Arabidopsis thaliana: one gene and its partners. The protein of the gene in region 2 interacts with the protein of the main gene of each other region in a biochemical or structural test. Each region holds a gene or a part of one and is shown on either strand. Other genes may lie near its edges.

Region 1 (10,647 bases), on a different chromosome or scaffold from region 2:
GCTCTCGGAATCACTTGAGTTTCTAGCTTGCGGTTGACATCTTAGCCTGATCACATCATTACAGTCTCAATCCCTTATAAATTTTTATACAGTGGAGAGAATACAGTTTGTAATGTTTTTTATACACAGAAATTGATACATTTTTTTGAATAAAAGAAATTGTTGATAAAATCTATTTCAGTTTTTGATAAAAGGTTGATAAAATCTTGCACCTCTATAAATACCACGTTGATTCTTCCAATAACACTGCCGCAGCATAAAATAAAGAACCCTACCTTTTTTTTTTGTTTTTGCTAAGAACCCTAAATTATTCGTTATGAGAGGTCGGATATATTTTCGCCATGAAATCGACCGTAATCCTGAAGTCTCAGAAGCTGGCACAATCAACGCATGTGTAACCATGGTCACGATGGATGAACCTGTACGAACATTCCCGATTACGTGGCTCGCGGATTACGTCATGGAAGATGAAGGATTTAGTAGTAGAGAAGACATTAATGATCTTTTGATGAAAGAAGGTTTCCCTCTCGAACCCGATTTGTTTATGTTGACCGAAATTGCCCGCAAAGGTATCATTGAAGTGACTTCCTCACGTGATTATAGCCCAGAATATGCTCTGTTTCTGAATTTGACTTTTCGTGATGGTATTTCCTTTGATGAGATTGTAGAGGATGACGACACCAATATTTATATACCCTATTATTGTATACCCTTTAGACCCGCAAGCGAGCTCGCTGTCAGGTCGCTGACCAAAAATATATACTACAAGACTAGCTCTATAGTTGGTGATAAGTGCATAATTTGTTTGGAAGAGTTTAAAGAAGGAGCAAGAATTGTGACTTTACCATGTGGACATGAGTTTGACGATAAGTGTATTGTAGACTGGTTTGCGACCAGTCACTTTTGTCCATTGTGTCGCTTCGAGTTCCCCACGTGAAGATCGATGATGGGATCGAGGATTAGGTGCTAAGTTTTCTAAACTCTAAACGTTTTTTCTTTTTTTTTGTTACAAGTAAATTCTTAAGTTTGTTGACACAGAATTTGTCTAAAGTTTTGCTCTCTTAGATTTTTTGCCAAATCAATAATTCTTCCTACTTGACTCGATTTCATATAAATATTTGCTTCATTATTCAGCGGATTTTGTCAACCATGAATTCTAACTCGTAAGACAAATATTCGTGTTCTGCTTTTTTATGGTCAGGTTCAGCTTTAAACTCTCGGAAGGTGAAAGTTGCATGGTCTGAAGTATGTTCTCCAAAACAAGAAGGGGGTTTGGGATTACGCTCGATTGCAGAAGCAAATAAAGTCTGTGTTTTGAAGTTGATTTGGCGCATTCTCTCAGCTAGGCGGTCGCTTTGGGTGGAATTGGTTAAGAAATATCTTATTCGAAGAGGCTCCTTTTGGTTAGTGAAAGAGAATACAACTTGTGGTTCTTGGATATGGAAAAAAATTTTGAAATACAGAGACACAGCAAAGAGTTTCTATCGAGTGGAAGTTAGAAACGGCGAAGCTTCTTCTTTTGGGTTTGACAGATGGAGTGAGATGGGTTGTCTTTATGACAGATTGGGTGCAAGAGGGTGCATTGATTTGGGTAGCCCGATGACTGCTACTGTGGGTGAGGTAATGGCAGGGGCAAGAAGAAGAAAATATCGGGTAGCTATTTTGAATCAAGTCGAAAACGAAATAGTAAAACAGAAGCTCATAAGATCGAATGAGACCGATGTAGCATTATGGAATGGAAAGCATGACCACTATCGAAAAGAGTTTCACACCAAAGAGACGTGGCTGCAGATTCGCACCGCAAAGCTATTGATGGAGAACTACAACGGAATCTGGTTCAAGCACTCGACTCCGAAGTACTCACTCATCACATGGCTCGTTCAAAAAAATAGAGTAGCTACGGGTGACAAGCTGATTAAGTGGAACCCGCAAGTAACTCCAAACTGCATTCTCTGTCAACACACTTTGGAGACATGGGATCATTTGTTCTTTATGTGCCCTTACTCATTTCAGGTCTGGACGAAGCTCGCAAAGGGAATCCTCCACGCTAGCTTCACCGCAAACTGGACGGAAACTCTCAAACTGATACATGACAATAGGCTAAGCAAGACGAAGTGTTTCATTGTAGGGTACATATTTCAAAATGCAATCCACTCTCTTTGAAGAGAACGGAACAACCGACGACACAATGAAGAACCATCCCCATGCGAGAGACTGATAAGAGTGATCGATAAAATCATTCGGAATCGTTTGAGCACAATTCGGAGTAGCGGAGATATGAAACTTGCAGGAGGTTTGCAAGATTGGTTTGAATCAAGACAAGGAGAGAAGATTTTTTTGTTTTTGTTTTGAATGATGTCTTTTAAAACAAGTATGTATAAGTTGTAGAACAATTTTTTTTTTTTTAATATAATTTAATATTAAATTCAAAAAAAAAAAACTAATATTTTGTAACTCCCTTTACTCACTTATTATTTTATTTTTCTTACTATTTTGCAGTTCTACAATATTACTAATTGGAATATTATGTGAGATTTCATTGGCTATATACTTTTGTTATATAATTTGCACCGGGTTAATACGGTACTACTACTATTCGATCAATAAAGCAAGTAGTTTACCAATTATGATACTATATCTAGTTGATTTAGTATTCTTTGTTGATGTATAAATATTACGTTACCACTATTTATCGGGTCTCTCCACCTTAGTTTTCTCTCGCTCCGGTGATAGTGTGGTTGGATTCCGGCGAGCTTCTCTTGTGGAGGCAAATCACGAGATCTTTTTGGCTCTCTGGTTTGTTCTTTGCGGTTAGAAGTGTTGTGGTTTGTTATTGGTGGTCAACATCTCTCCTCCATTGGTGGGCTGTAGAGGGTGGCAGCTTCCTCAGCCATGGTTATGGTTTTCCCGTGACCATTTTTCTTCGTCCCTTCGCCTCGTTTTTGGTTGCTTTTAGGTAGATTTTTGTTGTTTTTGGTGTTGTTGGTGTCGGTTCTTTTTATGTATGCGAGAATATGGGTGCATTGATAAGGTTAATAGAGTGTTGAATTTATGGCAGCAAATAGGTCTAAGTGGCATCGCTATCTCATTGAATTAGTGAAAAAGTTCATGATTGCTTAAGTATTTTTGCGTTAATTCTCGGAGAAGCTATAGACTTTTATCACGAGGTTTTGAGGACAGCTTCAAATAGATATGCTCGTGGCAACTACGATGAGAATTCCGGTTATTCGGTCATGTGACAACCACGCAAATTTCTGAGTTTTGCAGGCTCAGAATTGGTATTTCACCTCGTAACTTATCCTTGAATGCCTAGAAGCAAATTGTAATGTTGTATTTATTATTTGGAGACTGCTTTAATCAGCTTTTTGTCAAAAGTCAAAAATGATATAAAAATTAATCTTTTGTCAAAAAAAAATTTTACACCAAGTCTCAGGTTCGATTTTGCAGATTATTGATGCATAACTTATCGTAATCTATATCGAGTACTATAATTAGGTCACCGTTGTGGTCTCAAATGAAGCAGAAAGAGTATGTCCATCATATATCATATATGCATAATCGTTTGTCGTGTATCCGAGTGTTGCGAGAAGAGCTGAATGGTAGAATCGTTATCTATAAAAGTTGTTCGTCATAATCTATATTGCAGGTTATCATCAAAATATTATTAGACGAGATATATCTAGATATGATGTTATAAATGACAGAAAAAGGAGAGAAAAAATCTAATTATTTTTAGGGTAATATTAGAAAGTAGAATTGAAAAGAATGTAGTAACTAACCATTGTTAATTTGTATGTGAGTAAATAACCTTATGACGGCATAAGAAAATACAAAAATATCCTTGCAAGTTGAACCAAAAGCAAGAGTATGAGAATAACATGATATTTATAAAAAAGGTGACATTTTATAATATGTTATGAGAATAAATAATGTGTTATATGAAAAACTAGCATGTTGACAGAGAAAGATTTCCAGTTATCACGTGTAATTCGAAAAAGTAACATGATACAAAAGAAAATAATATACAATTTAAAAAGAAAACATAACGATGAAGATTCCAAGAAAAAATCAAAATCGAACAAAATAAATAGCACGATATTTATCAAAAAAGTGACATTTTATAATGTGCTATGAGAATAAATAATTTGTTATATGAAAAAATAGCATGTTATTTGAGAGAGATTTTCAATTATAACGTGTAATTCGAGAAAGTAGCATGGTAAAAAAGAAAATAACATACAATGTAAAAAGAAAACATAACGACGGAGATTCCAAGAAAGAATCAAAATCGAACAAAATAAAATGAGAAATCTTCTGCAAATTGAAGGAGAGATGATCCGTCAATATAAATAACGTTTAGCAGCCTAGATTTATCGAAAAAGAGACTGATGGTTGTGATGGTGGAAGATGTGGTGGTTGTGGTGGTGGAAGAAAGAGAGATGAGTGGTGGTTTGTTCGGATTCATCAAAAGTTTTTCGCCATGGAATCATCTAAGTGTTTTGTGTGATTTTGTAAAATAGCGTGTAATACATATAAAATTCGATAATGGGTATAAAAATAATTACAAGTGATGAAAGAGAGTGTCCTCTGATACCATAGCTACTTTGTTAATTTTTTTACAATTCATAGTTATTTTGTGCATATTCTCTTATTTTTATCTATAAATGATTAAACCAGAAAACATGTCATAACATTTTCTTAATTTGATTTTCAGGAGAATTTATGAACTTGCCCATCTTTGTGGGATTTCCCAAAAAGAGGCTTTGAGTTAAAGGTCCTAGGAAAAATAATCAGTAATAGAACATGCTACTAAATATTTTAAAATGTAAAATGTGAAAAAATACTAATAGATTTCTTACCAAAAAACAGTGGTGCTCTTTTGTTTTTATTGATTTTTTTTTTTAGTGAATTACAGCCCAATAAAGGAATAGCCACTTCGATAGCTGGGATTACAAAATTTGCCGGAACGCGGAGACATTCCGGCGAAGCTAATCGGGGAAAAGGAAAATCTTTTAAATTATATATTTTTATTAAAAAATCATCTTCAGTAAAAAAACAATAAAAGGTTTCTATGGAGGAGACATTTTTGAAAAATAGTATTAAAAAGATGCATTTTTTTTTTAAAAAGTCTTCCTTCAATGTGTGTTTTCAAAATAAATCCAAATATGTATTACATAGTCTTTGAAATACCTAGGAGTCCGATGATGAGAAAATACATATCCTAGAAATATATATAATTTCGGAAATAAAAGTCTTAAATATGATATACAGTCCTTTTAATTTAACAATTGTGAAGATGTTTAAAAAATTATAATTTTGAATAAAATACAAATGATAGTATTAGTGAAGTCGGCGAAGGGGGATTTATCTTTAAACACATTGTAATTGTTATTGTTGCGTATCCGTTGGCAGCAAGAAACAGAAACACAGAGTGAGTCCAAGATCGCTTTAGAGGAACGCTTGAAGAAACCACTGAACATTGATATTAATTATCAAATATTCGAGTTTCTTCTTCCTGCATTCAAAATTCGTCACCAAGATTGCAATTTTCTTATCATCTTCGAGCGTTCATCTCTGTTAGATTATCACGGTTTGTTTGAAGTCTGTTCTCTCGTGGAAGAAATTGTCGATCTCTCTGTTATCCAACTCTTTGTCGCGTTTCTTTCAGAATTTCTATATCTGTTGGGTCTCTGTTCTCTACTAGAAGAAATCGTCGATCATTGATTCAGGTAAGTTCTCGTTCTTTGTTATCCAAGTTTCTGCTTCAAGCATTCATCACCAAGATTCCAATTCGTTATTGGGGTTCTTGCAGAAACTTCTTCGAACATTCATATCTGTTAAGTTTTCACGTCGTTGGGTCTCTCTGTTAATCTGCTAGAAGAAATCTTCGATCATTGATTCATGTAAGTTCTCGTTCTCTCATAATCAAGTTTCTTCTTCTTCAGCATATATTCGTCTCTGTTACACTTTCACACCGTTTCTACTGCTAGAAGAAATCATATTCATTACCATGATTCCAATTCTTTTACTGGGTTTTCTTTTAGAATAATAGATCACTGTTTGTTTTTAGAGATCGAGTTTGATGAATTTGGTTTCTCGTTTCTTGGATCAGAAGCAAAAATGTCAGAGGTGTTAACACGCGGGTTTCGATTTCGCCCAGCTGATGAAGAAGTGACAGACTACCTTATGCGGAAGACACAATCGCCGGAGTTCAGCTGCTTTATCAAAACCATAGACTTGTACGACAAGGATCCGTGGGTACTTGGGCATGTGAGAGATCCGTGTTACAATCACTATGAATGGTATTACTTTGTTAAGAAAAACCCCCTCGGGAATGAGTACTTAGATAAGCCTAGATTGAACGGGTTTGAACATCCACGCTTGAAATGGGATGTGTTGAAGCAGATACATGATGCTCTGAGTTCTGGTCAGAACGTCCCACCAAGTGTCTTTACTTACGGATTCCGATTTCATCCGACTGATCAAGAGCTACTCTCTTTGTACCTCACTCCAAAGGCCCATTCACCAGACTTCAGCTGCTTCATAAGAGAGAGAGAGAGCTATATGCCATGGAGCCATGGCTTCTTGAACATGTTAGATCTCCTTTTTACAAGGACAGTGAATGGTACTACTTTGTGAGAAAGTGTTCGTCTCGTCGTGAAAAGCTGAATTTGATGTTCTACCTCAGGGGCAAGAAGAAAACATGGAGGGTCAATGGTGTTGTTACACAAATCATAGATAATGACATAGAGAAAAATGTTCTGGGAACTAAAACAAGATATTCTTTCAATCTCGATGTGGGGCGTGTCCACTCAATGACCGGGTGGAAAGTAGAAGAATTCCAATTGTCTTCGGATCCTGTTTGGGCGGTTTGCAGACTCACTTACCTGAAAAACGATTCCTGCGTGATTGATGATAGACCAATACTTCCGGGAGAAGAGCATCCTAAGCTTGAGTTGCAAGCATTGAAGAATTTACATGAGGTGTAAGTCAGTGTGAACCTAACATTTGATTCTTTTCTCTTTTTTGTTTTGTTTTGTTTAAGCAACATCATGAGTAGTGTGATGACTCTCTCAAACATTGTCTTTCTTGAGGAATATTAACAGAATGGTTTTGCTAAGGTCTTGGCCTCTATACATATAATTCAAAGTAGAGAAAAAAGGTTTTCAGATTCTGATTTCATTCGTTTTGAACATGAAGAGTCCTTGATAGAAGTATCATCATGACTTGATGATGATGTATCACTGTCTTCTTGAAGCTTTCTCTTGTTAGAATGGCTTAAGATTTTGCATTCCTCAGCTTCATTCCTCATTATAAGTTGTTTGATTCGCTTTACATCTGCTAGCTTCACCGGTTTCAACAAGAATTCCTCTGCTCCTTCTTTGAGACATCTAAAAACAAGAAGAAGAAGTCGATAAGTTTAGATCACAGTGTAGACACAAATATGATCCCATCTGTATCACTACACATTACACAATCAGTACTTACTCTTGTATACGAGGTAAGATGTTCTCAGATGACATAATCACTACTGGTACTTCTCTGAATGCTGAAGATTCCTGCACATATCAATGGAGTTTTGTATAAGCAGCATTAAAAAAGCTTTGTTTAAGTCTTTCTCAGATTGGTAAATCCATTATTATTGTTATTACCTTAATCTTTTTAAGGAGATCATATCCTGAAAGTCCTGGCATTGAGTAATCCGTCACTATCAAATTCACCTTCAAATCCTGTTATGATGAAAATCACAAACAAAATCAAATCTTAATACCAAAACACATAAATCACTAACTAGACTAGTTCATTTCTAAATCTCATTTGATCATAAAGACAAGAAGAAGCAATAGCCAAAGCCAAAGTTGCAAAGGTTTCACTCCTTCGGTCTTTCCTAAATATACAAGAGTTCTTCTCAGTAGATAGCAAAAGAGGGAAGATTTATTCTTAATTACCTTAAGATTAGAAGCCCCTTTGCCTCCATCTAAGCCAAGATACTGCAAAGCCCTAGTTCCACTCTCTACAGTCGTCACTGAAATAACAAAAAAAAAAAGACACTTGTAACTAAAAAACAGAGGAGAGTTTGTTAATGAAGAAGAAAAACAGAGGAGAGTTAAAACCAACAAAAACAGAGCAGAAAAAGATTGGTTTTGAGTTTTTACCTTTACAAGAAGAGATTCTAAGCAACCTCTCGATGACTTTACGATCCACAATACTATCATCGACGGCAAGAACATGCAACTCCGGAGTAGTAACAGTCAAATCTCCACCGGCGGGAATCTCCATCCTCATGACCTCACCAACCGCCATTGTCAAACTCAGAATAAAAAAGAGAGCAGATTGGTTCCAAGAAGAGGAAAGCTTTGGATTGAAGACAAAGGAAATGAATGTGATAAAATGAAAGAAGAAGAAGTTAGGTTAGGTGACATAAATAAGAAGGGAGAGGTGGTGGGGTTTAATAAGTACTAGTATAGTAGATAGAGAGAGATTTGGAAGATCGGATCTTGCGGGGTAAGATCTTTGAAGAGGAAACAAAATCTTAAAAATGGGTCAAGTGTTGATGTTATGTGTTTGGGAAGTGTCAGAAAACACAAATAATCAAATGTGTCTTCAAAGGTCAAAATCTTTGGGCACCGAATCTTTTTTAAGATTTCAAAGATCTTTGTTTGGTCTGTTTCTTTCAATCCGACAGCGACTACTCCCTCGTGACCTGGAACTTTCCTTCTGCTTTTAGTAATTTTATTTTAGTTTTACCTCTCTCTCTCTTCTTTTTTCTTTTTCTTTGCCAAGTCGGCTACTACTTTGCATTTTACTTACATATCAATCAATGATCTAAAACCGGTGGTTATTGCTCAATTAATCTACTTCTATATTCATTTTAACTTCAACATTGTATTTTGTATTTTCCTATACACGTGATTCGTTTATACTCTACTAAATTTTATTTATGTGTAATGGTATGATGGTGATACTAATACAATTTAATCCTCTTGTTGTCTTTTTTTTTTTCTTTTTTAATTTGGGTAAGAAGTATTTTACAAGGTTATCTTAATTTAATTTTCTTTACGTCAGTAAGGGTTATTATTTTATTTAAAGACAAAAGGGACATTTTTTATTTTTTATTGTCATCGTTTTCAGTTGAGTTTCCTTTATTAAATTGATTGAATTTTGTATGCAATAAAGGCACTCTGTTTAGTGGACCATTGTGTGTGATTTGTGAGTCTCTTTTGCTTTTGGACAAAATCTTGAGAGAAAAATATGGACAAAGTATTGCGGGTGGATCCTTTTGTCTCAATCATAACATCTTCTAAACGAATTGCAAGAGGACTAAGGCAATAGTACATGTTATTTGGTTTCAAATCAATTAAAAAACGTATATTATACGATCCCTAAATAAGTGTCAAACATGAAATTCCTAAATTAAATTGGAGAAATAATACCAGGACAACAGCCATATCATATAAGGATCTCTTTGCAGATTTAAAAGGTTTTTTTTTTTATTTTGCAACAAAAGGGAATAGTTTTGTCATCATTTCATTTAAGTTGTTTAGTGATTTTTTTTAGTTGACCATCATTGTGTGATTTTGTGAGTCCTTTTTGGACAAAATCTGGAGAGAGTAAAATCTTCAAAAGTTGTGGAGGAGGATCCTTTATAGTTTGTAACATCTTTTAGCCGATTGTGAGAGGACATTGACAAAAACATTTTGTAAAGAAAACTGGTTTCTTAGCATTAATTTAGAATCTAGCAAACTTTTTGTAACGATTTGATAGATATCTACAAATATCAATGTTGAGATCTACAAGAATCTAGCAAAAACATGATGGTCTTCACACCTAACACTTACGAAAAACATTATTTTGAAAAAAAAAAAAAGAGTCAGTCATTTGAAGAGAAAATTATTACAATGTTGATCCACATGTCTAAACATTTGATGATCGTGCCAAACAAAACATTGGTGATAAGAACATTACTGAAAGGAAAAGGAAAAAACCATCAATATGTTTCACATTTTCTTATTTTCATTGCAATTTATATATGGAACAAACTTGCTTTCAAATGTTTTTTTCCACCTAGATTTTAATGTCTTATGTTTCAAGTTATCAAGATCTTTGCATACATTTTGAATAATAAAATAAACAAATCAAGAGACAGTCATCCATTTGCTCCGTACCTAAGATTTATGAAAAGAAAATCCTAAATCCAATTTAAAAAAACGAACCACAACCACCAAAGTCTTTCATGTATTCAGTTATTTTTTAGAAGTCAATAATTTGATTTTAAACATAAACGAACAGTTCCTGAATAATAGAAACGGACTATTGATGATATAGTCACGATAGCTACAAGAGGAGAAAAAACACTATAGTCATAACAACGCTAAAATATATATAAAAGTGTTCTCCGTTTGTTGGTTTCGTAATAAATAATGCTTCATCATATAGTCACGTACTGATTTGTTTACAAAGTTTGCTTACAATCTCAAGATACGATGACCAAAATACCAAAGATATTACTAGTTATTTTTCAAGACTAATATTATTATCGTATATAAATATACTGTTTTTCTCATAACAACATTATTTTCAGCTCATTGTTAACATGCTTATATGTGACAGTAATATATACACAAATTGATACAATATTTTTGTCAA
Region 2 (10,647 bases):
TCTCTGCAGTACTGCTGGGATGGAAGCTAGTGGGACAAGCAACATGAAATTTTCGATGAACGGTTGCGTTTTGATTGGAACCTTGGATGGGGCGAATGTCGAGATTAGAGAAGAAGTTGGAGAAGAAAATTTCTTCCTCTTTGGTGCCAAAGCTGATCAGATTGTGAACCTCAGGAAGGAGAGAGCAGAGGGAAAGGTATATACTATTTGAAGAGTTAACCTTACCATGCTTCTGTTTTAGCATCAACAAGAATTTGATTTTTGACCTGGCTCTTGGCATTCCAGTTTGTTCCCGATCCTACTTTTGAAGAAGTCAAGAAGTTCGTTGGAAGCGGCGTCTTTGGCTCAAATAGCTATGATGAACTAATCGGCTCTTTGGAAGGAAACGAAGGCTTTGGACGAGCGGATTACTTCCTAGTTGGCAAAGACTTTCCTAGTTACATCGAATGCCAAGAAAAAGTCGACGAGGCATACCGAGACCAGAAAGTAAGTACTAATGCATTTTCTTTGAACATCAAGCTAATAATGTTGACTAAAATATGAAACTTACTCAAATATCAAACCTTGAAATTGCTGTTAAATGATTACAGAGATGGACGAGAATGTCAATAATGAACACAGCAGGTTCATTCAAGTTTAGCAGTGACCGGACGATCCACGAATACGCCAAAGACATATGGAATATTAAGCAAGTGGAACTTCCATGAGCCTTGAGACAAGTCTACCTTAAGAACTCTTTTGTACGTCCCATGTTTCTAATGTAATCAAGGTAATAAGGAAATCATGTAATGATGCAATACAATGAACGTAAGAAATAAGATTCACGAGTCAATGTAATTTACAAGGGCCTTCGCTGCCTTAGCGGCGTGCTTCTGACCGGCTAAATGATCGTTGTAAACAATGTCGCTATTACAAACTACGTTGCATATTCTACACAATCTAATTGACTCATTTGACACCCCGCATTCCACGACTCTCCGTCTCTTTGATTCTAGATCTTCTGTTGTTGAATCCGCACCTCTCTTCCTAGCCTTGCTTGTACACGGATTTTCTTGTGGTCCTATTAAAGGGGCTGTAACGGTTGGTCCAGACAAAGAGGAACCCTTGTTAGACGACAGTAAACAGACCATTACAGTCAACCTTACAAACTTCACAGTGAGCAGAGCGAACAACCTTTCCCTTCTTCGTTCCAGGAAGTTGAGCTTGAACTATGTGGCCGGTCCAAGAGAAATCAGGCGGGTATATGCTATGAGACTGCTCTATAAGATCCTGATTCATCCTCAATTACAAAAGTTCAAGAAAATATCAAATTGAGCACACCAGGAAGGTAGTAAATATTGCATAAGAAAACAAAATTTCGAAAATATTTCTTCAGATCTTATGTAGTTTTGTAACCTAGTCTACATGATGCCTTTCTAGAACAAATTTGAAGTATAAACTGATCCTTTGCACACCGAGAGAAGCAAACAGATCAATCTCAAGAGAGCAAAACAGAGCAATCACAAAGCAAACATTGTATGACATACATAAAAGACAGACTCTTAGACTTTATACACAGATCATAATGAATTGGTAAGATATACATAAAATAATCATTGATTTCACAGATCGAAGGATCTAAACATTGAGATTTGTGCAAACAAAAATTACTAGAGACTAAAACTTGATGACTAAGCAAAACAGAGCAATCTCACAAAGCAACTGAAATTCACTAATGCATCAAGAACTTGTTGCAAAGGACCTGACTTTACACACAGATCCTAACGAATCACTGAGAAATCTATAAAAGACATCATCTTGACCACATTCCCACAACTTAACGGAGAAAAATTCATAGCTTCCTCATCAAAGCATTCATATTTCTGAAACAACTTACAGGCCAAGCCGAGTTCTGCTGAGCATTCATATCTAAAGTATAATACGGCGTCGTATCCACAGTCACATATGATGTCGTCGCAATCACAGCCGCCGTAGAATCAACAACTCCAGGCGGTGGTGGAATTGCAATAGCTGAGGATTCATAAGTTTGGAGATCGGAGATGGAACTAGGGTTTGGATTTGCGTAGTAACCATAATAGGAAGCGTAATACGCATCAACCGCCGTCGACTGATTCATTTCCGGTGGCTGTATCGCCGGTGCCGGCGGTTGTTGCCACTGACTGTTGTAATCCATGGAAAACAAAATCAAAGTTTTGATCTTTTCTTAGTTCTTGCAGTTCTATTGAAAACCGGACAAAAGACCAGACCGGTCGGACCGGTTTGATCGAAAAAATCTGTCCTTTTGGATTAAGTGGACCAATAAATAATCAATTTCACTTTGGATTGGACAAAATACCAGACCGGTCGGACCGGTTTAATCGAAAAAATTGTCCTTTTGGATTAAGTGGACCAATAAATAATCAATTTCACTTTGGATTGGTTCTGTATCTCAGACATGAAGGTGGAATTGAGACTGAGCTCAATGATAGTTTCAGACTAATAACAAAACCTGGTTTTTTTCCTTCTGTTTCATGTCTGTAACACTAGCAATAAAGTAGAAACAATAGAGAGGAAAATGTCACAACTATACACATTCCTTATTATTCAACTAATCTGAAGATTCTATATAGATGAACACATATCTATCCTTTCTCTGTAGTATATTTGGTATAATGTGAAACCTCAAAACCTTTGGTTAGACTTGGAAACATCAAAGCACTGACATTTTTATATCCCCTGAGACTTGTAGCTTGATGGTTGTGCAACAATCTTGCTAGCTTCTGAGTCAGTCACAGAGAGTGAATTACCATCTTCAGTACCCGCTAATTGGCCTTTAATCGATCTGTGAAGTGTTTGGTGACCACCTAATGCTTGTGAACACACAAAACTCTTGCCACATATTATGCTTCTATAGCTACTAGAATTGTCGAAACACGAGTGAGCAAGCGGTTCGCTGAAGTTTAGTTTTGGCTCAGCACGATATAAGATCTTTTCATCCACAGAGACTTCAAAGCTTGGTGGTTGTGAAACAATCTTCTTAGCTTCTGGAGGAGAAGGTAATGCACTGAACCTGATTTTACTGCAAGTATCAAACTTGTCGAAACCCGAGTGAGCAAGCTGTTCGTGGAACTCTAGTTTCGGCTCAACACATTGTAAGATCTTCTCCTCCTGAGCATGTTCAAAGCTTGATGGTTTTGAAACAATCTTCTTAGCTTCTGATGAGTCTAACAGTGAACTATCATCTTCAATGTACTCAGGTTTAGGCACTAGTTTCCATCTGTGAAGTCTCTGGTGACTACCAAGAGCTTGAGAACACACAAAACTCTTCTCACATATACTGCATTTATAACTGGAGCGAGATTTTTTCTGTAGTTTCCTTCTCAAAGGACAAGGTTTAAGCTCTAAATCCATGAAACCATCACCTAGAGGCAAATTACTGATAGAAGCAAAGTCATAAACTCCTTGACACAACATAACCAAGTTCAATGCAGCTTCAATCACCTCATGTTTCTCAATCTCAGCCATAAAAGAAGATCCTTTGAATCGATCAAAAGCTGAAACAGAGCAAACCCTAGACTTCTTCTTAAGACCCCAAATCCTTTCCAAACCATTCTCATCTTCGATTCTATTGTGATTACCAGAATGCATCCTCTGGTGACCATACACACCTTTTAAAGTTCCAAACTTTCTCCCGCATGTTTTGCAACCATGAAGTCTCTGAGACATTTCGCCGACAAAAACCTGAAAATTGAAACAAAGCTCATAGCTTTTCCGTTTGATTTTCTCGAGAAAACAGAGAAGAAGACAAAGATCGCGAAGAAACACACAAAATCAGACATTTCTAAGAAGAGAGTGATCATGTTTCGCTAGAAACTTGAAAAAGTCTAAAGCTTTTTCCAGTTTATTTTCTCGGGAAAATGTGGAAGAAAACGAAAGAATAATCGCAAAGCAGAGAGCTTGATTAGCTTACCAGAACAAAATCTTCACTTGATTTTATGACTCAGGAAGAGAAAGAACACGTTTTGACCTAATCCGAAGAGCTGAAGACCTTAAAGAACACTTTTTTTTTACTTATCGCAGAGTTTGTAGTATCGCTTTCGATCTAAGCTATTGACAGACAACAATGGAGAAATTTACTTGTTGTGGAAGCTAATGAGTCTATTATGCAAAAGAAAGAAGACAGAGGATAGTTATATCCTACACTCACGCGTATCATAAACTTGGTGCTCCCTAATCGCTAAACCAATTAATTGGTTTAAGTAATCAATTTTGAACTTTGGATTGGTTCTGTATCTGAAAACATGAGTTAACCAAAGAAACTGTATTTGAACCAAGCAAGAGGAAAATGTTAAGTATACATCTGCAACTTCTGTACTTAGAAGAGAAAAAGATTCAACTAGTAGACTAGCGAGAAAACAGTTCACTGAAGTCTTGTTTTGACTCAACACAATGGAAGGTCTTCTCATGATAGATTTCAATGCTTGATGGTAGTGAAGCAAACTTGCTAGCTTCTGAGTCAATCACGCCAAACAGTGAAGTACTATCTTCAGTTTTCTCATTTTTACGCGCTACTTTTTTCACTTTGATCGATTTGCTGCAACTAATAGACTTGTCGAAACCCGAGTGAGCAAGCAGTTCACCGAAGTCTTGTTTTAACTCAACACAATGTAAGATCTTCTCCTCCTGAGAGACTTCAAAGCTTGATGGTTTTTTAACAATCTTCTTAGCTTTTAATGAGTCAGAGAATGGATTATAGTCTTCAGTGTACTTCCTTTTACACGCTAATTTCCCGCTAATCTCTCTGTGAACTCTTTTGTGATTACCTAAACCTTGAGAACACACAAAACTCTTGCCACATATTTTGCAATGACAGCTTGATTTCCACTGAGTTTTTGTCTGCAATTTACTTCTCAGAGTAGATGGTAATGCACCCGAATGAGAAAGCGGTTCACTGAAGTCTTGTTTTAACTCCACACAATGTAAGAACTTCTCCTCCTGAGAGACTTTAAAGCTTGATGGTTGTGAAACAATCTTCTTAGCTTCTGATGAGTCTAACAGTGAATTCTCATCTTGAGTACTCGCTAATTCCCTCTTAGTCGATCTGTGAAGTTTCGTGTGGCCACCTAGACCTCGATAACACCCAAAAATCTTGCCACATACTTTGCATTCATAGCAGGAGCTACTACTCTCAGGTCTTTTCTGCAACTTACTCTTCCGAGGATATACTTCACTGAACTCTTGTTTCGACTCAAACACAATCTAACATCTTCTCCTCTTGGGAGACTTCAAATTTTGATGGTTTTGAAATAGCATCTAAGGACTCAAACAATGAATTATCAAATTTAGTATACTCCCTTTTACGCACTAGTTTCTCTTTAATCGGTCTGTGAATTCTTTGGTGACCACCTAGAGCTTGATAACACTCAAAACTCTTGCCACATATTTTGCATTTGTGACTTGATTTACTCTGCAGATTACTTCTCAGAGCAATAACACCACTGCAAGTAGTAGACTTTTCGAAACCCGATTGAGAAACCATTTCCCTCAAGTCTAGTAACAACTCAACACCATCTAAATCCATGGAATCATCATCATGAGGAGACAATTCAAAGCCATACTTTTTCTGAAAACAAAACCAAGCTCATTGCAGCTTCTTCTTCCATCTCATGCTCCACAATAGTCTCAGTCATAAAAGAAGTTTCTTTTAGTGACACTGAAACCGAACAAAGACCCCCAAATCCTTAGCAAACCGAGTAAACACCAGAATCAATCCTCTGGTAACCACATACATGAAGGTTATGGATTTTGCCACCAAGATGAAAACTTTCATCTGATTGAACCTGTTTCAGCATCAAATACGTTAAACCCACAAGAATCAAACACAGGAGAGTGAGAAGAAAACACTGAAATTGTAAAAAATCGTGAGCTTTTTTCGAGAAAATAGGGGAAGAATCAAAAGAATGTAGAAAGATGAGAGCTTTGATCAGCTTACCAGAGCAAAACACTAACTTGAATTTAGGTATCAGGGCCTGAATCGCTGAGCTTGATCTGCAGAGAGTCTAGCTCTCGCTCAGCTTTTAACTCGTAGAGACTGATGAAAAAAGTTACTTGTTGCGGAAGCTATGAAGGCTATTTTGCAAAGAGATAGTTATCTCCTACACTCGCGTCTACAACTAACTACGTGCTCCCTAATCTCTAATTTTTTTATTGGTATCTTTTATATCGGTAATCTACGTTGGTCTAAAACCGGTTTGTGATGTATCCCAAAATGATTATCACATTTTCTTAAATGTCCATTTCGGAAAAAAAAGGGTCTATTTCCAAACTATTACCAGAGTTCAAAGTATGACTCCGATCTATAATTTTATATATCTCTAAAACTAAAGTTCTATACCTAGTTTTCTCCCTAAAATAAAATTTCTATATACAAATCTCTCCAAATTAATAGTTCAAGATATATCAACCCACAATTATTGGTTTCATTGGTTTATTAACGGGATAAATGTCATTTAAATCATCACTTTACCATTTCCGTTGGTTTTGAAGCATAAAATCTCGATCTAGTGATTTAAATCCTCAATTTTATGTTGACGTTCAATATAATCACGAATTCGTTGACTAAGCCAATTAAGGCACATCGTTAGAAATCTTTCTAATCAAAATTTTTGATTTTTTCTCTCTTTTTCTTCAGAATCTCTCATCTTCTTTGGAATTTCTCTTCTTTTTCGAATTCAAAGTAATATTTCGTCTTAAGGTCGATTGACGACATCGAAAAAAAGAATTTGTGTCTCAATTTGCTTAGTCAACAAGAATTTGTGATTAATTTGAAAGTCAACATAAAATTAAAGATTTAATTCACCAGATCCAAAGTTCATGATTTAAACCAACGAAAATGGTAAAGTGATGATTTAAATGACATTTTCCCCGTTTATTAACTACATGCTCCGTAATCTCGTCGAAAGCGGTTTGTGATTTATCCTGAAAGAATTACCATATTTTCTTAGAATGTCCATTTCGGATATCGAATGGGTAATGGTTTAGATTTAGGTTTTAGGGTTTACGATATTCATATTCTGATAAGGAGACAGGTTGTAAAAATTTGGAAAGTCACTACCAAACTTTTACTAATTTGAGTAAAGGTCAACTTCGAGACAAATAATTCAGATAATTACGAAAACATTATGGGCAAATTTGGGAAACTAAAAGATCTAAACACACAATTTTTAGAAGCACCCACTAGTCAAGACTTACTTAGTAATCACTATATCTTACTCAAACCAAACCTTTCAGAAGCAAACCAATATATATTATCATCACATTCATTAGTCCAATGGTTTCAATTTTCTCGGATGAGATCAAACAATACATACTACTGATTTATAAACAACCATCACTTGTTTTTGTTTCTTTTTGCACATATTTTATTGAGTTTTTGAGCAAACACCAAATCCAAAATAATTTAGAAGAGAAACTAAAGAAAGAAAGTCATCATCTTTTTTCTTCTTATGGACTAGTCTCTTTAGTTAATATCCACTTGAGGAACTATACCACCAGCTTGAATGATCTGTTTCTCAAGCTGAAACAACAACAACAACAACAATGTCAATGATTTGTTCATTACTCATAACCAAAATGATTCATTAAAAGCAGAGCCAAAAACAGAGATGGATTCTATTCACACTCACATTGAACATATCTTGAAGCTTTGTCTTTAACGCCTTGTACTCAATATCCACTTGCTGCAAACATCTCACACACCTGTAACATAACATGAGACTATTATTACTCAACCAATGAGTCCCAAGAGAAAACCATAACTCGCTTACCCTTCGTAGTTCTTAGCTTCACAACATTCCTTGAAGCTAACACACAAAGTTTTGACCCTCTTGGCACCAACACTACATAGAAACAACACAAAGCTTTTCATCAATCAACAACACACAACTTCTGCTACTTATATAAAGCGAGACATGATACATACCTTGAGCTACTACCCTTCAATTGATGCACACTAGCACCTACCTGACTAAAATCTACAGTTCCTGTCGTGTCCCTGAAATAGAAGTAGCCACAATCACACTTTAAGACAACACAAGCAATGATGATCTAGCTGAGAGAATATCAAAAACTTACAAAGCTCTAGCCATGTTACTGATAAGCTTCACACAATCTTCAAAGAAAAGTGAAAGCACTTCAGACACAAAATCAGGACTTCCATCATCTTGTAGCTTTTTCAACTCAGTAAATTGATCATCCAAAAACCCCTTCACATAAAAAAAACACAAACCCATGAATCTAAAGTTCCAACCTTTACACAACTCAAATCCCTAAAAATCATAACTTGTAAAAATCTACATAAAGATTCAATCTTTCTTCACTTTTGTCATGAATCTATGCATATAGGAGTCAATCTAGTGTGTATATGAGCTAAATTAGCTAAGCAAAGAGATGAAATTGGGTTTGAAGAATTGTGGAATTGAAACCTGTTGGTAGAGAGAAATGGTGTAATCACGAAATTGTCTCTGAAGCTGAGCAATGAGAGCGTCCATGAGAAGAGTGAAGCGGAGATTGGGAGAGGATTTTTTTGTTTGGACTTTGATTATTGACTTGGATTTCTGGAAATAGCCAATCCCAAGAAGAAGAAACTTGTGTTTTGTCTTTCTCGCGAATTGTAACGCTGCTACCAGATTTTTTTACTTTAAATGGGAAACAATAATTAAAAGAGAAACACACAAATATTTGGACATTTTTATGTATTTATTTATTTGGGTGAAAAAAATTAAATAGAGAATTTTCATAATTAACATAATTTTAAAGTTTTTTTTGATAAAAATACCATTCAAAAGTTTTGTGAACATAAATAACACTCAAATAATTATTTAATTTTTAATTATTACAACTAACATTTAAAAAAATACAAAAATTCATACCAAAAATTTTCAACAATATTTTTCTACAAAATAATTTCCGTCAAAATTTTTCCACCAAAAATAATTACGCCGCCCACATTTTACCTACAAAAAAAAATTCAGAATTTTTTTTACAAAATATAGGAAAGATTTTAAGCAATTCAGGAAAGGTTTCACGAAATTTATAATTTTTTTCTTTTGTAACCCTTCCTGAATTTTGTAGAATTTTTCCTGAATTCCCGAATTTTTCTTTTTCGAAATTCAGGAAGAATTTTACGAAAATTTTTTTTGTAAAATCTTTCCTGAATTCCGTGAAATCCTCACGAATGTCGTAGTTAGCTTCCTCAAGTTTTTTTACAAGAAAAATTTGACGGAAAATTTTTTTTGCGGGAAAATTTATTACCGAATTGTTTTGGCAGAAAATTTGACGAAAAATTTTTAGCGGAAAATTTTTATTTTTATTTATTTAAATAAAATTAATTATTTATATTTAATATTTAATTAAAATTTTGAAAGCTACTTGTGAAATTTTTCAAAAAGTTGTTATTTTTGGAAGAAAAAATTTTGTTGGTGCTATTTTTGTCAATCCCAATTAAATATTTTTTTTTTGGGAAACATTTGGATTCAATACAAGTTTTTAAGTAAATTATTGGTATTTGGTTAATTAATAAAAACTCTTTTTCTGAAAAATATAATATGAAACACTCATTTAATAATATTAAATCTAATTTAATTTTCTTATATAAAAGAAAAATATCAATCTTATGTTTCGATTTACTTGGAAAAATTAAAGTATTTGACATTATATTTTCTTTTCAAAGACCCAAAAAAAAAAAAAAAAAATTGCAACTTATTATTTCGATATTTTTAAATTACAATTAGACTAACCATTTAAAAGAAAATTTTGTGTATAAGATTTTTAATATTATTCACATATAGTTTTTTATGGTATCAGAGCTATATGTGATATGGTAAACTATTCACATTACAGATTGGAATACTCACCCAAGTTATGTAGCCAACTTCGGTGTGCGTACCTAAAAGGTTAATATGTGGTCACTAGTACTGTAAGGAATGCCTCTACGAATGGATTTATGCATATTTACTTAAACAAAAAATACCAATCGCAATGAGAGACATACAAAAACATAAAGCTTTAAATATGGAATCGTTAGGTGTCACTCAGAAATCAGAATCTCCAACCTGGAAACTTTTACAAGATGCGTTTGGTTCCTAATCCACCAGAGAAGAGATATCATGTGATTCTCTATGAACAATGTGCAAATATTCTTCCGAGTCAACTCTCGCAGACAAAGCTCAATAAGTGGCAAAACTTTCAACGATTAACTACAAAGTACAAACACATTTTACTCCAATATAAACCAATATTTATTTAGTTTCTAAGGAAACAACAAAATTGAAGCGACATTGTCGAATACAAGTCCTCTTCGACCAAAAAAATATGAAAGTAATACCAAAAAAAACAAAACACACACCAGAGAACATAACAAACATATTGTAAGAAATATAACAAGTCTTAAAGACAAACCACAAGAAGAAGAAAAGCACAAATGATGGAGGACGAAAGAGTCAGCAATGAACATCATTAGGCAACGGCAGGCATGTCCTTGAGCCAGTCGTCGAGAGGCTTACCAATGGAGTAAACAATGAAACCAATCTCCCTTAGCTTTTGCAGATTCATAATGTTTCTTCCATCGAACACGAAAGCTGGTTTCTGCATGTTGTCAAAGATCTTCTG
Region 3 (10,647 bases), on a different chromosome or scaffold from region 2:
CATGTAATCAAGAGCCATTACTATTACTACACAATATACAAGCTGTTTCATAGTTAAGAGGACAGAGTTTGGGTTTATATATATATAAAATGAATATAATGGAGCTATACCCTAGGAATCTACTATACACACAGGCAGAGATCAATGAAGACAAAGTGTCTATACAAAGAGAAAGATCGGTTTTCGCAGTTTTTCTCACTCAACCAGACGAGGTCTTAAGCTGAAAGAGACCTGTGAAGAAAAATTGACAATGAACTGGTTCTTGCCTTGATCTCAAGTTGAATTGCAGGTCATGGATGTTCAAGATATACTACCCGATGTCAAAAAGCTCTCGGGTTGATATATAATCCTACAAGGGAAATGGCTTTTTCTTTTAACAAGGTTCAAAGAATCTTGCTACCGCTGTGTAGAGCACTTCCTCTTCAAACGGTTTTGATACATAACCATCCATTCCACATTTCATGCATTCTTCATGAGTAGCCTGAATAACATCTGCTGTCATTGCTAATATCGGGACGTGCCAACTACTAAATTTACAGAACATTTCAGCTGAAACTTCTCCAGAAGCTATTTTCTTATTGATTTCCCTCTCCAGCTCACGGACTCTCCTTGTCGCTTCAAATCTGCGCAAAAAATTATAAAGTTACCAAGGACGACATCCAAGAAATGAACAAGCTGAAGAGATAAGATTGAAAAATAGTTATCTACCCATCCATTTCAGGCATCTGGAGATCCATGAAGCAAGCATCGAAGTTATGAGGCGGCTTAAGCATTGCCAATGCAGCTTTGCCACTCTCAACGCATGTAACAATAGCTCCATATTTCTTAAGTGCACCTTCTGCAACTCGTCTGTTCACAAGATTATCATCCACAACCAGAATCTGTTTTTCTCTTAGCAAGTGTCCAAGATTTCTTCGCTGTCTGTTCGGTTGCCTCTTCTTGCCATTGACAAGGGTTTCTTGCAAGCAACATATTAAGACACTCATCCGAAGAGGCTTTATCACCACCTCATCGATGAGACCAGTAGACTTCATCTCACTGCGCTCAGTAAGAGTTGCAGAAGTTGCCAAAAGAAAAATCTTTGGGACTCTTGTAAAGGTTACTTTGCTTCGGGTAAACAACTCGTCAAGTACTGAAAATTCTTCCTTGTTCCAGGCGTCTTTGTCTATTAGAATCATAGCCAAATTTTCTAATTTGCTGCAAAGATTCCAGAACAATAAAACGCTTTTAGTGAACTCACTATAATCTCTAAAGACAGACAGACACTAATGTACGTAAAGTACCTGATACAACAAGTGCATGCCATTCTCAGACTTGAAACAATGTCTGCAGATATTCCCAGTCTCCGAAGTTCGTACCTGGTGACCTCTGCTCTAATGTTTCTGTTATCAATAACTAATGCTCTCAATCCTGTAAACTCCTGAATAGCTAGATCGAATCGTTCCAGCTTAGTAATCGACGTATTTGTTTCTGCTTTCCCGAAAACTCCAGTAAATGAAAAAGTACTGCCTATCCCGGGCTCACTCACAAACCCCATCTCTCCTTGCATGAGTTCAACCAAACGTTTGCTTATACTCAAACCTATGCCAGTTCCACCATAAGTCCGCGATGTGGAACTGTCGGCTTGCATAAAAGGTGTGAAGATTCGGCCTTGTGCATCCACAGGTATGCCAACTCCAGTGTCCTCCACTGTAACTAGCAATTTGATTTGATCAGAATTCTGACTCTCAGTACTGTAACATGTCTTGAAATTCTTCCAGCTTCCCCATGCATTTACCGCAGGAAACCCGCTAACTGTCTCACCGGACTCGCTGCATCCTAAAGCTAGTCGCTGTTTTAGCACTGCGTCTTCAATAGTAAGAGGCTCCTTTACCTCATCTGCAAGGTGCACTGAGATAAATATGTGTCCCCTTTCCTGTGTGAACTGTTATTAAGTAAATAACAAATGAGTACTGTAATAGTAGAGATTCGTGAAGCCTGTTGTTCTGTAAGAAGTAAGGAGTAAATTACTTTGATTGAGTTTCCAACCAGGTTTGTAATGATCTGCCGGAACCGACTCGGATCACCGACTACAACATCAGGAACTTGACTAGAAACATAAACGGCCAACTGTAACAAGAAGTCAACATTTCATTACATATGGAATTTGTTTGCCATATGAAAACATTAAGAAAGTAGAAGGTCATGCAGTTTATAATTATACCTCAATTCCTTTTTCATTTGCCTTGCCAGAGAGGAGAGATGAAACATTATCAAGAATAAAACGCATATCAAAAGGCACATTTTCAAGCTCGAGCCTTCCGGATTCAATCTTTGCCTGATCAAGAACCTCATTTATTAGTGATGTAAGATCCTTCCCACTGCCATGAGCAGTTTGCGCATAGTCCATCTGCTTCGCATCAAGATCGGTGTCCATCAGCATTTTCAGCATTCCTGTAACAAAATGCTTAAACGTTTCAGCTGATTTTAAGAGAACATGCAATATTGACCAAGGATAAGTAGAAAAAGTACCTAAAACTCCATTCATCGGAGTCCGTATCTCATGAGAAACAGTTGCTAGGAACTGCAAAATAAGAAGCATTTCAGTGAAAAAACAAGTAAAGCTTTTGAGACTATATGATTCACAAAGATCACCTGTGACTTTGCAATGTCAGCGGCCTCAGCACGAGCTTTGAGTTCCCTCATCTTCTGACAATCCTCTTCAACTGTCGCAATTCGGTTGATGGCTTCATATAAAATATAACCAACAAGAAAAGTAATAACCAGAACTAAGATCGACGGTGTTATCGCTGTCCAGGGAATGGGAAGTTTATGCTTAAACCTGTAAATGAAAAATGCCACTTTCATACTTCAGAAAACAGAGAAGTGAAACATATCTTATAAAAATGTACCATAACAGTTAGAGCTAACTAACCTGCAATGCATCTCATGGTTCCTTGATGGATCACCAAAATCAAGGCTACTTATATGCTGCTCACTTATATCCCCAATTTCTGAGCCATACATTTTTATTAGACCTGAAGTGTTAGTTGTGTCGTAAACATCCACAGCAATTGTCTGTTTGCTGGCAAGTTGGTGAAGAAGTTTCTCCACCAGCGATGGCATATCATATGATGCACCAAGGTACCTGTTTTTAAGTGTATCTTATTAATATTTTCTGGTCCAGAGATCATTCTTTGTTACATAGGTTCAATTTCTTCAGTCCTAGAATCATTTTAAGTAGAAGTAGTACCCAATAGTTGCTTCAACACGCTGTTCTTCTGTAGCATCAGGCGGTAGGCTCGTGTCATAGACAGCAAAGGTCAACACAACACCAAGATGATTTGACTTAAGAAGCTTAAATGGAGATGTTAACACTCCTTTTCCTGATGCCCTTGCCCGTAAGATGTTTTCACGGTCTTCCTGCAAAATAGTTAGACTTTTGAATTCTCTTTTAAGGACATTGGTTTGGCAAAATAGTTCAAGAAACTTTTAGACGTTACTGACTTCTCCAGACATCATGTCGACCGATACAATATGGGAAACAGTTTCTTGAGCAAATATAACTGGCGCGTATTCGTCTTGAATCGGTGCGGGATCAAAGTTTTCAGGAACACAATCTTGTACAACTGTCTGGTCCTCAGTTTCCATTTTCTTTATTGCCCATCCATGCTCCTTTTCAAATTTCTCTCTTTCTGAGTGTGGGACTTTCAAAGCATACGCTACACCACTAGTAAGTGGCCTCTCAAAGTTTGTTCTCTCAGTATATTCTTCAAATGTTCTCTGTAAATGTAACAGAAGTTGATGATTTAAACATAAACTTGAGACACAAAATGTATTTAGCAGTAAGAAAAAAACATCACCTGATCAATGGCAGATGGGATTTTACCATGATGAAATGTAGATACAAGAATAGACAAGGCATGAACATGGTTCAAGCTAACATTGAACTGATCTTGTAAAACACGTGCTCGTTCGTCACACATGTTTGCCAAAGTCTCCCTCCTTTTCATTATGATCTCCTCATTAGTGTCCCAAAACCACCAAACAGAGAAGGAAACTCCTCCTAAAATACCAAGGAGAAGGATATTCTTCCTCCATCTTCCAGCCCCTCTAGAAGAAGTCTGAGCACGTTGTTGCTGCTTCTTTGGAGCTAAAGCCTCTTGCAGATGTACTTTCTCTTTCCTCTCACCTCGTGCTTTAGAATGAGATACATAAATCTTATGGCACACTAACACACCAAGGATTAGACACCACCATGCATTTCTTAAATACGATGACAAACCCTGCTCCAGCCCTTCTTCATGGTTTTCTTCCTCAAGGTTTTCAGGTTGCTGTAAAATCTACTCATAACCAAACACATTCACAATAAACTTTTGTGAGAACTAGCTAAACACCAAATCTTAAAGCATTTCCTTCACATGTTGTCGAATCGAATATTATCTTACCGGTTCAAGATTACCACACATACAAGATGTTGATGAGATAGAATGTCCTAAGCCAAGATTCCAGGGAAGCCCTCTAGTCTCTTGTTTATCAGAACGCACACTCAGGGAACATGTAATACCATAGTTTGTCCACATTCCAGGGCTTGATTCCTTATGACATTCAAAGGATGTTACCTACAACAAATACAGAGAAACTGTTACACTTTAAGGCAAATCTGGTGCGTATTCAAAAGCTCAATTTCAACAAATACAAGTCAATTCATGCAATTACCTGATCTGAATCAGAGAACAAAGAGACCAAATCATGAATCTCACTTCTTGTGACATTTTGATGTCTATACAACACTTTCTCTTCTCCATTACAAGAATCTGTCTCCTCCTTCTGACTTCTACCTAACCGTAAGAACATAACCAAAACAATTACCAAAGAGCCACACAAAATCAGGAAGAAGAGAGGCTTCTTTAGCCATTTCTTGTCACTGCTCGACGACTTCTTAGCTTTCTTTGAAGTAAGATTCAAGAGCTCACAAGTTATAGACATTTCGACTCCTAATCTCAGATTCAGCTGAAGAAATTCAGATCTCTTCAAACCCAAAACTAAAACTCTATCAACAACAATCTCATAGTTGAGTTCTTGAAACCATCCACAAGAAGAACAAGAAGCTGTGACATAGTCCCAAACGCAAAGCTTTTTTCTTTTTTCTTACTTAAGACGCAAGAGGACAAGATGAACCAAACCCAGTGGTTGTTGCAATGGGAGAAAGAAGACATTGTTGAGAGTAAAGAAACGGAAAAGAGAAAAAGGACAAAGCTTTATCTTCTTTCATGGTTTCAGGGTAAAGAAAAATGACAAAGCTTTCTCTGTTTTAGATGTTTGTGAGCTTAAACAAAAGAAACCCAGCTGGTGTCTCTCATTACCCAACTGGACTCAATGATCAGAGTTTGGATAAAAGAAGCATTTGTTAGAGAAATTATGAGCTAAAGAAAAAGAATGTCACTTCTCTCTTCTTTTACTCTACTTTTGATTATTATTATTGTTTTTGTCTTTTGGTGAATAAACATTTTTAAAAACTGAGGTTTTTGGGTCCATGATTATCTCATCATCTAGGTGGGGAAGGTATTATAACATTTTTAGTTAAATTAGAAAAAGTGATTGGCTAATGAAAATATAAATAAACTCAACTATACCAAGAATCAATACATGCTTCTCCTAAAACCTACTCATTGTTATTTGTTTTTTGTTTGGTCTTTTTGGTGTTTTTAAATTGCTTCATTAGCATAGTTTAACATCTACTCTTAAGTCTTATCTTATCTTGTATAAAATATAACGATGAGTGGGTTTTACGAGAAGTGGGTATTGATTTGATTCTATATGTACATCTTATTTCTTTTTATCAGTTTATGTATCTTTGTCTCCCAGTTACATTTATGATTCTGATTATTTTTATGTAAGAAGTTCTGTTTAAAATTGTATTTGACTTTGAAAATATATTAGGACTAGATCATAACCCGTGCTGTATAGCACGGGCATTAATATTTTGTATAAATTACATTGTATACTTTGTTATGTTTGTTATGTTTATCAAAATTATTTGTTATATTTGTCAAAATTTAGTAAAATATATTCAAATATAATTAAATTTATTAAAACTTAATAAATTTAAAAGTTTTTTTTGTTTAGAGACGCACTATCTACATACAAAATACTCGTTTCTATTTTTTTGAGTATTTTTAGGGCCTGAAACTTTTTATCCAAACTGACCCAAACCCAACTGGACCCGACCCGAACCGAATATTTAGAATTATTCTATTAGGTAGTAAATCATATACCCATTAATCCCAAACCCGAACGGGTTCTACCCGAACTCGAATGGGTTACTCATATGCCCAGCCCTATTCTCTGATTTAATTATCTAAAAAATCCCAATAAAACATATGTTTTGTTGAATACCTTTTATTCAAAAAAATTTACATCCTCTTCTGCCAAAATCATTTCATAAGACATCCCAAAACCCTTGGAATAATGATTCTATGAATGAAGAATCCTAATTTGAATATACCAAGAGGTTTTGAAAGGTTTTAAGTTTTTGATAGGTGTGTATGTGAGAAGGTACATCCATCGTGATGGTAATCTGCTTATTTATAATTTTAACTTGCATTATACAGCAGGTAGGCTTATATTTTAGTTAAACTAAAAACTTTTATTGTAAAGTTGATTACAAATATATGATATTATTTTATTTGATTTTAAATGTATAGTAAACTGCTAGTTGTATATGTTTTGTTGATATTATTTATATTGTTTAATGTTTAAAATTATATACTTGTATTTTGATTGTTAATTTTAGAGTTTCACCTGTACTATACCATCTTGTATTAATATTGATTTAAACCCGTCAATTCTAGGATTTTCCAACTTGTATTAAAAATTGAATCACATCATACACATTAAAAAATCTAATATGTTATTAATTATTTTAGTATATAAAATTATAAATTTTAAAATAATATGTATGAAATTGAATATAAATATTCAAATTATAACACAGTACTCAGTAAAATTTTTTTTTAAATCTACTTTTGACCCGTTATAGTATTTTTTCATGTATTGAACAGTTTATATTTGTTTTTTTTAAATTTAAATTGTGGCATATGCGAAAAAAACTCTAATTATTTTTTTATAACGATGATATTATTTTTTTGCAAAAATAAAATCATATAAAGATGAGAGGTGAACTATAATAATTAATAAAAAATTAATATGATAATTTAGATATCAAATCTAATTTGTTGATTTTAATTGGTTACTTTTTTGGAAATTAATAATGTATTTCGTTTTTGAGTTAAATTTAATTAATTAAATTGACTTTTTAATTTTTAAAGAAATGAATTAATTTACTCTTTAAAATTTTATTTCTAATGGCATACATATGTAATTACTTACAAAAAATAAGGTTATATTTAAAATGTACTTCCCAAATAATATAGTAGGATAGAAAACCAGGATTTATATATATATATATATATATATATGTGCTTAAATTAAATAAATTGAAGAAAATAAAGTTGATTTTTTCGTTAAAGTGTTTGTAATGGAATCGCTATTGTAGTATTGTGTCTACACCCAAATTGAAACCAGACATAATACATGAAATTGACCAAAATTGTATATTTTGAGGTGATCTTACCGTGTTCTCAAGATGACCAACGAAGCAAAGACAAAGATGACCCTATAACTTTTATTAAATTGTGTTTGCATTAGTCATGCCTATTTAGTTAGAGTTGGATGAAATATTTGATTTGATTTTTTTTTGTTTGACTCCAATATCTAAACCCTTATACAGTATCGTGCCAAAGTCAATAGAGGCTTAAGACATATTCTAAAATTGTAGTCTCACACATTCTATTTTTGAGATTTTTTTTGAATGTTAAGAAAAATAATATATATATATATATATATATATATATATATATATATATATATATTGCTCATTTAAGAAACAATTTCAGTACAAACAAGATTTAGTAGTTAATGTAAAGGAAAAACAAACAAAATTTTCCATAAATGTTATTGATGAGTTTTCTTTCCAAAACAAAAGTCTTAAAACGCTAAATAAAAATAAATACTGAGTAATTCAGAAATAAATGTGGCATTTTATTTGTTTATTTTTGTATGACCTAAGACAAATGTCTTTTTCCTACATGAAGTACGGCTCTGCCTAAATAACAATTTATTTTCATTTAATCGATCTTTTTTGGTATTTTTGAACTACTGTCGTATGTACATATCAAACCTCATTATTCTTTCATTCCTATATATTATTTAGTTGTTTAATATGTATTCCACCTAAGAGATCTCAATTGATAATTAGTTAGTCTAAAAAAAATATTATCTATTATTTTTATCTCACCAATATTTTAGACTTTAGAACAAAATAGAAAATGACAAATAATAGCATGAGACAATTATTTTTATTAAAAAACAATAAGCAATATAAACATGTAGAATATTATTCGGTTTGGGATTTACGGCTTTACTTCATAGACGGCTTTTAATGACCCTCTTAGGACGTCAAGTTGCTACGATAAAGCCATGAAAACAGTTTTATTAAAGATATGTTATACACCCGAAGACTCACAATTGCCAACAAAGTATGAAAGTAATGTTTCACGTAATAAAAGTCTTGTGCTGAAACAAAAAAGATTAAAATTTTCACGATCGAGATTATTGGAAGATAACTAGTTCATTCGATCACTATCGCCACCCACCACCCCACATTAGCAGAAACAGTTTTAGCGCAAGAAGTCCTGCAGCTCTATATCATTAGGCAGCTGCGATATCTCACCTTCAACAATGAAGGATTGCTAATTGGTTTGTCATATCAAACTTCCCTTACTTTTTATAAAACTAAACGTTGTTGTCATTATAGAGTTTGTGTATTTTAACAAAATCAATAAATTTAAATGCGGTTCCGTACAATTATGTACAATAACCGATATATTGATTAAAAATACAATGACATACTGGTAAATGCTATAGGGCATATAAACTAACACATGAAACAACATTTGGATAATCATTTTAAAATAACTGACACAAGAATATCAATACTTGACACGCAAGATACAGTTATATGTTTTGTTTTCTAAATATCTATAATATTTTTAATCTCTTTTTCTAGGCCCCTAATTGAGAATCAACCTATAGAAAATGGTCAGTATATATGCAGATGACCTTATAACTTTTTTTTTATTGTGTTTGGATGAGGCATGCCTATTTAGTTAGAGTTAGTTGGAATATTTGGTTTGAAAAATTCTGGTTTGACTCCAATATCTCAAGTTATGTTCTTCCTTTTTACCCTCTATAGCTCTTTATTTTTCATTTAATCGTTTTTGTATTTTTGGACAACATTCGTATTTACATATCAAGTTTCATTATTCTTTTCATTAATTCTTATATATTATTTAGTTGTTAAATATGTATTCATTCCATTTCCACCTAAGAGATCTGAATTGATAATTAATAATGTTTATCATTTTTATCTCACCAATATTTTACAATATGAAGATATAGAATATTCTTTGGTCTGGGATTTACGGATTTTATTTCAAAGACGACGATATCCAAAATTCTTGGTACGTAAGATACACGTCTTGTTTTCGAAGTTATCTATAATATTTTTTTACTCTTTTTTTCCAGAACCATCCCCTAATTTGAGAACCAATCTAAAGAAAATGGTGAGTAATGATGTATATTCATTAGTGAAGACTGGTGCCTCTCTTATTTTCTTCAATTTCTTCAAGTTTTGGAGGATTTATTAAAAATTCAAGATAATTAAAATTTTGCATATATCAACAATATAAAATTACAAATATTATATTTAAAATAAAATAGAAAATTATAAAGATCATAATATAATAATTTTTCTTAATTCAAAGATGAAAAGGAAATTATAATAAACTGTCTAAGAATACTACAATTATAATTTACAAAGAAAATTAAATTAAGTTAAAAACATTACAAAAACAAAGAAAAAAAAATCTATTGATCTCACATATTACTAATTGATTAAAGAAGCCCAAATATATGTAACAAGCTTTTTAGTTATTTTAATAATTCTTTTTTGTTTTACAATTAGTAATTTACTATATTACTTTTATTTACATTTTTAAAAAATATATATATTATTTTTTAGTTTTAGGATCGTAATTTATTGTATATATTTTTGTGAGGGCCTTGTGCAAAAAAACTCTTAAAGCCGTCCATTTTTGCAACTTTATCTTCCACGTCTAGAAAATGCAAAATAATCCTATGAAATGCAAAATAATAGGCAATATAGACCATTTTTGCAACTTTACATATATTGTCAACATTATAGATGATCTCCTCATGATCACATACATTTGTTTTTGAAAATTCTGAAGTTATAGGTGAACTCCTCATTTCGAGGGCTTCAATTTGATATATTATTTATCAAAATTTTAAAATTTGACAATATCTAAAAAGAATTATACTGCGTATTATTTTGGATTTGATATGATTATTTTGCAAAATGAAGGGTATAGTTGCAAAAATGGATGAGTTTGAGAGTTTTTTGTGTACATAACCCTTTTTTACAACCACAAATTAATTAAAAATTAACTCTGGTTGTTATATAATTTTCTTTTAATTTGTATATTTTTATTTTTATTTTCAGAAAAACGATATAATTTTTTATTT

What was found.
Region 1: the proteins of AHP2 (region 2) and ARR7 form a complex in vitro, tested with the Arabidopsis thaliana proteins (one study listed by BioGRID).
Region 3: the proteins of AHP2 (region 2) and HK2 form a complex in vitro, tested with the Arabidopsis thaliana proteins (one study listed by BioGRID).

What each region holds. Positions count from the first base shown.
Region 1 is NC_003070.9:6,570,775-6,581,421, forward strand, and holds ARR7 (response regulator 7), read right to left. Parts: upstream 8,541-10,647; 5' UTR 8,305-8,540; coding exon 8,157-8,304; intron 8,027-8,156; coding exon 7,950-8,026; intron 7,731-7,949; coding exon 7,653-7,730; intron 7,560-7,652; coding exon 7,489-7,559; intron 7,392-7,488; coding exon 7,145-7,391; 3' UTR 7,059-7,144; downstream 1-7,058. Other genes in the region: AT1G19025 (DNA repair metallo-beta-lactamase family protein), read left to right, coding at 1-26; AT1G19040 (NAC (No Apical Meristem) domain transcriptional regulator superfamily protein), read left to right, coding at 6,121-6,639. UniProt on the Arabidopsis thaliana protein: Functions as a response regulator involved in His-to-Asp phosphorelay signal transduction system. Phosphorylation of the Asp residue in the receiver domain activates the ability of the protein to promote the transcription of target genes.
Region 2 is NC_003074.8:11,256,881-11,267,527, forward strand, and holds AHP2 (histidine-containing phosphotransmitter 2), read right to left. Parts: upstream 8,683-10,647; 5' UTR 8,529-8,682; coding exon 8,463-8,528; intron 8,244-8,462; coding exon 8,113-8,243; intron 8,033-8,112; coding exon 7,961-8,032; intron 7,878-7,960; coding exon 7,806-7,877; coding exon of another isoform or gene 7,802-7,805; exon of another isoform or gene 7,751-7,801; intron 7,738-7,750; coding exon 7,665-7,737; intron 7,556-7,664; coding exon 7,499-7,555; 3' UTR 7,246-7,498; downstream 1-7,245. Other genes in the region: PHS1 (Glycosyl transferase, family 35), read left to right, coding at 10-196, 286-486, 591-707; AT3G29330 (zinc finger RNA-binding-like protein), read right to left, coding at 1,108-1,269, 1,877-2,173; AT3G29340 (zinc finger (C2H2 type) family protein), read right to left, coding at 2,707-3,720, 4,504-5,226, 5,345-5,560; UGD2 (UDP-glucose 6-dehydrogenase family protein), read right to left, coding at 10,495-10,647. UniProt on the Arabidopsis thaliana protein: Functions as a two-component phosphorelay mediators between cytokinin sensor histidine kinases and response regulator (B-type ARRs). Plays an important role in propagating cytokinin signal transduction through the multistep His-to-Asp phosphorelay.
Region 3 is NC_003076.8:13,911,370-13,922,016, forward strand, and holds the start of HK2 (histidine kinase 2), read right to left. Parts: upstream 5,437-10,647; 5' UTR 4,969-5,436; coding exon 4,699-4,968; intron 4,602-4,698; coding exon 4,428-4,601; intron 4,323-4,427; coding exon 3,843-4,322; intron 3,763-3,842; coding exon 3,487-3,762; intron 3,403-3,486; coding exon 3,233-3,402; intron 3,128-3,232; coding exon 2,915-3,127; intron 2,822-2,914; coding exon 2,635-2,821; intron 2,564-2,634; coding exon 2,512-2,563; intron 2,434-2,511; coding exon 2,204-2,433; intron 2,110-2,203; coding exon 2,011-2,109; intron 1,925-2,010; coding exon 1,284-1,924; intron 1,198-1,283; coding exon 709-1,197; intron 624-708; coding exon 374-623; 3' UTR 1-373. UniProt on the Arabidopsis thaliana protein: Cytokinins (CK) receptor related to bacterial two-component regulators. Functions as a histidine kinase and transmits the stress signal to a downstream MAPK cascade.